2 linked regions of the Mus musculus genome follow. The protein of the gene in region 2 purifies or fractionates together with the protein of the main gene of each other region. This does not show direct contact. Links are inferred from orthologs where the notes say so. Each region holds a gene or a part of one and is shown on either strand. Other genes may lie near its edges. The genes, in order: Prpf19 and Knstrn.

Evidence for each region.
Region 1: the proteins of Knstrn (region 2) and Prpf19 purify together in Homo sapiens (affinity purification with mass spectrometry; 4 studies listed by BioGRID and IntAct, counting the BioPlex papers as one, with this or other methods). This does not show direct contact. The link is inferred for Mus musculus from reciprocal best matches to the Homo sapiens genes KNSTRN and PRPF19.

What each region holds. Positions count from the first base shown.
Region 1 is NC_000085.6:10,893,623-10,898,057, reverse strand, and holds the start of Prpf19 (pre-mRNA-processing factor 19), read right to left. Parts: upstream 2,828-4,435; 5' UTR 2,609-2,827; coding exon 2,590-2,608; intron 556-2,589; coding exon 406-555; intron 242-405; coding exon 165-241; intron 1-164. UniProt on the Homo sapiens protein: Ubiquitin-protein ligase which is a core component of several complexes mainly involved pre-mRNA splicing and DNA repair. Required for pre-mRNA splicing as component of the spliceosome.
Region 2 is NC_000068.7:118,816,822-118,820,630, reverse strand, and holds part of Knstrn (small kinetochore-associated protein), read right to left. Parts: intron 2,768-3,809; coding exon 2,641-2,767; intron 1,797-2,640; coding exon 1,749-1,796; intron 1-1,748. UniProt on the Homo sapiens protein: Essential component of the mitotic spindle required for faithful chromosome segregation and progression into anaphase.

The sequences.
Region 1 (4,435 bases), on a different chromosome or scaffold from region 2:
GGTCATACGTGTAAGCCAAAGACCCAGACACGGTCATACATGTAAGCCAAAGACCCAGACACAGAAGAGAGAGGGGAGGGGAGGGGAGAGGAGGGAGGAGGGAGGCCCCATCTTTTCAATCCCCAGGTCCTAGCCCAGAGGTGCATTCTTTTCACAGAACTCACCCACTCATCCTGCAAGGCTTTCAGAATGGCTGGGATGCTGGTGGCGGAGGGAGGCTTGGGTCGGATTGGGTGAGCAACTGCCAAGAGAGGCAGCAAAGTAGGTATGAAGAACTAGAACCCAGGGAACTCTCCCCCACCACCCCCACCCCCAGCCACCATCTTCTCCACCAGATTGGCTCCACCCCCCACCGGTGAAGGCTGAGCTGAGCTGGCCTTGGACTTGAGGCTACTGGGCAGGCACCTTTGATGTCGATGAGCTGCTCCTCTGAGAGAGGCTGGTTGTTGATAGGATCTGTGCCATTCTCTGCAATGTACTTCTCAATGAGTCGCCGCTCATACACATGATTAGAGACAGGGGACACGCACGGGTGCTCTGGCACTTCATTGGAGACTATAGAGAAAGACAGGTAGTGAGAGTGAGCACAGGAGAAAAGGAGACGTGGGCAGAGGAGATTCTTCATTGTGTCAGCCCCAACAAGACCATGTCCTCCTAGTCAGCTATCAGGAAGCAAGGTCTGTGACAGCAAGCCTGCCCGTACTTGGTCCTACAATGCTCGCCAACTACTTAGCTAAATTCTCTGGTCTGCTGATAATAAAAGTCAATAAATAATAACTGCCCAGATCCTATGTGCCAGTACTGTACAGAGTGGTCAGTAAGTCCTGCCCATCTCATTTTTGAACCGAGATGGACAGAGAAGCACACAGAGCACAACTCAAACCTGTCATCCAGTGGGAGCCCTAGACAGATCAACAGGAGAAATTCCGAAGCAACGTGACAAGTACTGATAAAATGAAAACAAGCAAACAAAGAGCTCTGCTACTACATGCCAAGCAAGATTCTATTCTAAGCGCTTGACAGAATAGTCTGTGTACCCTTGAAGATGGCCGTTACAGCTGTCACTGACCTCCAGGACAATGCAGATACTAAGCTGACACTTGATAAACATCATAACAGGGTAAATGAGTGCAAAAGTCCCGGGGCCCAGAAAAGAATATTCCAAAGTACGAAGCCTTGAGCATGCTTAACTACCAAAATAAAAAATAAAGAAATGAAGGCCCCAAAAGCAGGCTTAAAACCAAGGTCTCTCTGACCTTCTCAGACTTGTTTCTCTACCTTCCCCTAAACAGGGTCAACTGGTTCACTTTAGCAGACAAGTGGAAGCTACCTCCACATCAGACTCTTCTGAAAGCTGCTCTAAGATAGCGACTTGTCACATCACAAAACAGCTCTTATTCACCACACAATTCTATTCAGCCTCCCATAGGTTGTGAGTCACCATCCTAAGGTTCAAGCTCCTATTCTTCTCCGTGGCTTCTCTTAGAATCACCTATTTTTGCAGGACTCCCATGCATGTGTTATTAAGTATGGATTTGTGCCATATTTAAAACCCGTATCTTGTACACGGCCTTCCTGTCCTATTCTGTTGGTTTATCACACTACTCGACGACTAAAGCTTTCTGGGAGCTTTCCCTCTTCTACCAGAGGAAGGATAGCCCTGGGCACGTAAGAGTGTGGTCTCAAAGATGGAAAGAAAACAAATCGTTTGTAAATACTTTGCAAACTGCAATTTCTCTAGTATGAGATTTCCTTTTCTGCTTGTCATTTCCCTCCTCCTTTTCCTTCTTTGAACTAATGGCAACGTTCTGAGAGGGAAATAGAGAAGGCGAGGAATCTAGTAACGTGGTAAACAATATGGGAGAACACCCGCAATGCCGTAATACAACACCCCAAGACAGGACAGCATAGTGCACGGGAAAACCATGGATCCAGGCTCAAAGAGCCAAGCTCCACTGCTTAGCTTCCTCGCACACCCCTAGGTAAACCCATTCTTCAAGACTTCCGACACCCTCTGTAACTCACGGATCTTTATTTCCCTTCAGACAATTCTTGTAAGCATAAAATGAGATCACCGTTTGGAAATGCATCGTAAATCAATACAGGTTTTCTAAACATTCGCTGTTTTCATTAGTCATACTGCGCGAGGCTAGAAGCCAGACACCTGGCTTCCAGCCCTGTCTCGAAGTCACTGCGTGATCTCTGCAAATCGGAAAGTCCGATTCCTAAGCGAGGTTTCCCAAGCAATGCCCACTGCAATGCTTTCAATTTTGCAGATGGGGAAACTGAGGCCCAAACCCGCTAGAGCCCAGATCACAATTGGAGGCGGATCCTGGGCATGTCCTCGGGTTTTTTGACACCAAGAGCTGTTTTTCACTGCACCAGCTCCTCCCCCCCACTTCTGCTCAGGCCTGTCTCAGCTCTGTAAAACGACGCCGGTTTCAAAAGACCCCTGAGACAGTCATTCTTCCCAGCTACGTGAATTGCGCAGCCCTGCGCAAATGCACCCTGCACGCAGGGCCGGGAGCTCCAGGGCCCGAGCCACAGGGGCCACACACGCTCCCGCCTCCCGCCGCAGCCAGCACTCACTCGAGCAGATCAGGGACATGGCGCCGTCGTAGCGCTGCTGCCAGTCGCCTCACAGAGGGTTCCCGGTTCTCTGCAGCCTCCGCGGGCCACTTCCGGTCCCCCGCCGCTTCCGGAGCGCTCGGACGCGGGTAGACAGCTGCCCAGCGTGGCGATGCTCGCACAACTGCTTCACGTGGGGAGGTGGCCGGTGGCGCGCCTCAGCCTTCTGCAGCTAACGGAAACTGCCCTTTCCCAGCATGCAACCGAGCAGGAAAAGGCCCGCCTCGAAACACTCGGCTGTTTCCGCATTGGCTCGGCTTCTTCCGGCGAGCGCTCCAAGAGGCCTGAGGCGGGAAGGAGAGAAGAAACTACATTTCCCATGAGGCTGCGGGGACCGCCAAGGCTCTTTTTTTTTTTTTTTTTTTTAGATGGAGCTGCTGTCACCTAGGGAACACTAGTCTTTGAAATGGTCGTGTGCAAGACAGATTTTTCAGGAGCTTGTAAAAGTGCAGATTCCTAGAGTCTGCCTTAGAGAGTCTGTAGGCATGATTCGGAGACCTGTGTTCCTTGGCCGGCTTTTGAGAAACAATGTGACCCTGTAAATAAAGCACAAATGAGTAAAGAAACTAACACTGCCTAAATTCTTGCTCTGGAAATATGGGCAAGCCAATGACTTCGTTGCCTGCTACGTTTTAAATATAGTCTGTTTTGTAAACTCAAGGGAATTTAGTTCCCAGCGTCTTATGTGTACGTTTAAAAGAATGGAAATTTGATGGGTGTGTTTGCAGAAGTCTTTAAACACAGGCACTGGGCTTCAGAGGCAGGCAGATCTCGGAGTACAAGTCCAACCTGGTTATATAGTGAGCTCCAATCCAGGGCAGTCAGAGCTGTGTAGAGAGAACATGTCTCAATAAGCAACCAAACAGTAAGAGTGGAAAGTTAGCACGACTATGGTGTTTTTCTGTGGTTTTGTTTTTGTTTTTTTGAGACTGGGTTTGTGTGTGTGTGTGTGTGTGTGTGTGTGTGTGTGTGTGTGTAGCCCTGGCTGTCCTGGAACTCAGTCTGCAGATAAGGCTGGCCTCAAACTCAAAGATCTTCCTGTCTCTGCCTTTTGAGTGCTGAAATCAAAGGTGTGTGTCATTACTATCTAGCTTAACTGTGGAATGTAGAGGTGGGATCTTTAGAATAAGACATTACAAGAATCCTGGTGGAGTTCATATAGGGAAAGAAAGAGTGAACAGGCACAAATGAACCAGTTGACTTCCATGGCAATGTGACACCAGCAAGGAAGAGGCCCTAGACATTGCCCACGTCATTCTCTTTGAACCTTGTGCTTCTAGAAATTTGAGCAAGGAGAACCCTCTTTTCTTTAAAGTAGCCTACCTCAGGTGTTTTGTTATAATAACAGTTCCCTGCCTCCTGCCAACTTCTTTTGTTTTCTCTACTAAAGACCGGACCAGATCGGCTACCAAGCCTGATACCCGAGTTCAGTCCCCAAGACACCCCCCCCACACACACACACACACAAGCACACACAGTAAAATAAATAAATAGGCTAGGCCTGGTGGCACATTGAGAGTAAGTAAATAAACTAAAATGGTATCAGTCATAATGGAGTTCTATGGTAGCAAATTAAAACTAGCTTTCTAACCTTCTAAGAAATCAGGACAGACAGAGGCAATGGCCACATGTCCTAGCCCTGCCAATCACAGCAAGCATGGTAACTATGTTCTGCCTGCCTTGGTCCTTATGAAAAGTACACTGGAGAAATCTGACCTATCAACCAGTCAGATCTCTGCACTTCCCTCTTTGTCTCCTAGCCTCCCAAGGAAAACATGCTCAGGCCTTCTCTTTTGTTTTATTTCTG
Region 2 (3,809 bases):
TAAAACCTACTTTAAAAGTGTGCTTAAATACTTTAACCTCCTTTCTGGCCCACCACTCAACAGAGCTAATGGAAAGGAAAGGTTAACAGGGCAAAGGAGGATGTGGACCTGTTTAGAAAGAGTTCTTTGGATGAATCCAATCTTGGTTGTCAGGATATCAGCAGCTCAGTTTATATGAATCAGCAGCAGTCGCTCAACTCACTTGCAAACACCACTCATGAACCAGCAGTGGCAGTTTGATCCAGAAAAAAAACCTGCAAGGCTCTGAGAACTGGCCCATGAGTCCCCAGAAGCAAGAACCCTCTGGAACACCACCAGAAGTTCTTTGGTACATTTTTCTCTACGATCAGCAGAGAGTGGCAAGGCGAACCAATACCACTCAGCATCAGCCAACTGTCTGTTGGGTTATCTTTATACCCTTCCCAAACATCACGTGTTCTCTCAAGCATCTGTTCTAGCAAAACATCCCATGCCTTTTTCCCAGGCAGCTTCCAGAAAAGCACCATGTGTCTGTTCTCAGCAAAAACACCCTCTCATATGGCAGTTTCCAGAAAAACAAGCCTATGGGGGGCCAGGGAGTGGAAGGTGGTTTAAATATGCTTGGTCCAGGGAATGGCACTATTAGGAACTGTGTCCTTATTAGAGGAAGTGTGTCACTGTAGGAGTGGGCTTTGAGACCTGCCTGGCTGCCTGGAAGCCAGTCTTCTGTTTGCCTTCAGCTCCTCCAGTGCCATGCTTGCCTAGACACTGCCAAGCTCCCACCTTGATGATAAATAGACTAGGCCTCTGAACCTGTAAGCCAGCCCCAATTAAATGATGTCCCTATAAGAGTTGCCTTTGTCATGGTGTCTCTTCACAGCAATGAAACCCTAAGACACTGTTCAACATTGAAGGAAGTCAGGACAGGAACTCACTCGGGACAGGAATCTGCAGGCAGGAGCTGATGAAGAGGCCATGGAAGGACGCTGCTTACTGACTTTCTACACATAGCTTGCTCTGCCTGCTTTCTTATAGAACCCATGACTACCAGTCCTGGGATGGTCTCACCCACAAAGGGCTGGGCCCTCCCTCATTAATCTTTAACTAAGAAAATCCCTTACAGGCTTGTCTATAGCCTAATCTTATGGAGGCATTTTCCGAGTTGAGGGTCCCTCTTCTCCAGTGACTCTGGCTTGTAGTGATGTAAGACTAGCCATAGCCAGCACATCCTACATCCCTGGTTGACCTAGGATGGCCCTGAACTTGTGCGAATCCTGCCTCAGTCTCCTAAGGACTTCTATTACAGGCATAACCCAACACCTCTACAAAGAAGCCTTTTCCGGTTATGGGGGCTGCTGAGATGGCTCAGTGGTTAAGAGCACGCACTGCTTTTCTAGAGGACCCCAGTTCAGTTCCTAGCACTCACATCAGGCAGCTCATAACTGCCTCTGATTCCAGCTTCAGTGGAGGTCTGATTCCCTCCAGGCACCTGCACTTACACACACACACACACACACACACACACACACACACACGTAAACATTTCAAAAATCATGTCTTAAAAAGAGCTTTTGGGCTTCCTGCTAAGACTACTGCTCAAGATGATGGTACCACTGATCCTTCCCCTGATGGTGGTGCAGTCTTAATCCCGAAAGTCCTCTCAGGTACAGGGTATGGTACCCAGACTTAGACACATCACACAAGCCTAATGTGACTGTCATCTACACCCACAATTGTGAGCCTCCACCCTCAATCGACCCCATGCTCACCTGTTTCTGAGGTTCCTCCTGCTGGCAGTCTCTGCCGCTTTCACCTGCCTATGGAAGCAGAATCAAAGCTCATCAGAGAACCACAGTAGTTGGTGCTACAAATAAGGTGCAAATAAGGGCTTGGCTTCTTTGCTGTTTTGGGACAGGGTTGGAAATTCCAATCCTCCTGCCTCAGCCTCTTCAGTTCTGGGAGTGCAGGTGCATGCTATCACACCTAACTTAAGATAGTTGAGTTTCTGAGGAAAAAAACCAAAGAGTACACCCCAGTAACTAGCGAAGGCTGAGAGCTGAGCATGCGTGCTGGTTTCACCCCAACAACCGACAGACCTGAGCTTGCTTTGGATATTATGACTATCTCATGTCAACCACATTCACCTGGAAGAGGGTCACTGCCTAGAGTCACATGTACATGCTAGGTCCTGAGGCTGGACCCCGCTCAGGCTCAGGCCTATGAATAAGGCTTACAGTCGGCCTCACCTTTTAGGCTATGACTGTTTGATCAGATTATTTTATGTGGATGGGTGTTTTTCCTATGTGTGATATATATATACACACACACATATATATCTCACATCAAATGTGTGTGTGCCTGGACCCAAAAGAGGTCAGAAGAGGACACTGGATCTCTTGGAGCTAGGTTAGAGATGGATTTCAATTACCATGCAGGTGCTAGGAACAGAACCAGGGTCCTCTCCAAGTCAGAACTGCTAAACCATCTCTTCAGTCTCTATTAAAACATTTCTGGTGCTCAGCAATTTCTAGAAAAATCAGTATCTCTCCCTGTCCCTCCACCTGTCTGCTGGACAGTCCACCCAGGCCCTTGAACACACAGGGCAAGCTCTCGGGCTCTCTGGCAAGCTGCTATAACCAGATGCCAGCGATCTACTCTCACCCATTCTCTCGTCTCGATTTGGTGACTTTTGTAACATCAGGCTCTGGCCCTCCTGGATGAAGATGTCTAAGCAAATCCGCTTCTTTGGATTTAACAGGTAGTTTAGAAGTAGCTCGAGTTTGTGTATCTGAAAGGGAAAATAGGAGTGAAGCCACAGCACGACCCACCAGCCTTCTTGCTGTGCCACACAGAGCCCCACTCTGAGCTACCATAAGCCCTCATTTTCATACTGTCCAATCTAAGATAGGAATAGAGGTTGTTTCCAAAGAAAGTCTCTACACCGACTTGCTTCAAAAAATGGAGAGACAGTTCTTGACTCTGCCTCCAAATGCTGGGGTTTGTAGGTGTATTGTTTATGAAACAAAATCACCAATGTTTGATTTACCTATGGGGACTCAGGAGCCAGTCGCTGTGGTGAAAGCCTGCTAGCTCAGAGAGGCAGAGAAAGCGCCCAGCTGGTGACCCAGAGGGAAAAGCGCCTTCTCCTTCTCCACACGGTCTTCAATCCCCTTGACTCGCAGACCCTCCTCTCTCTTCCCTGCCTTTTCTTAACTTCACTCCCTGTCAACTGGTGGCTGCTTTGCTTCTTCCCCTGTCACTGACTTCACTTAACTCTTCTTTACAGAAAGCTCTTGGGTTAAATGTGTGTGCTAGGGCTGAGCCACACCACAAGAAACAGGTTTTTCCAGGTCACACTCTCAGGGGTCACAATGTGAGCAAATATCTCGCAACAAGGCATGCACCAACACACAAAATTCATCGCTCCGAGTGCCTGATGAGACCCCAAGCTTGACAGGCTACAGTTACGTGACAATGGAGGCAGAAGGAAAAGTCCAGCTGGAACTGCCCCTCAAGGCTCCCAAATCCTTTCTCCCCAGACAGCTTCTAGCTGTTTCCTCTTAAGTGTTACCCACTTTCACCAAAATGTCCTCACAACCACTTTGAGACATCTTCATGTTCCGGTGGCTAGGTATATGTCCAGACTTCAGGAATCAGCCACAGGCAGAATAAAAGGAACTTGTCAACTCTGGTCTGTTTCACTGCCCTGGACATATAAACTCTTTCCTCTCCTCTTCCCTACGCCAGGCTCTTGCCCTTCCAGTTCTTGTCCTTTATTGACCCCTTGTTAAGAGATTCCTACTTGGCCCTCTTGCTGATCTCCTGACTGG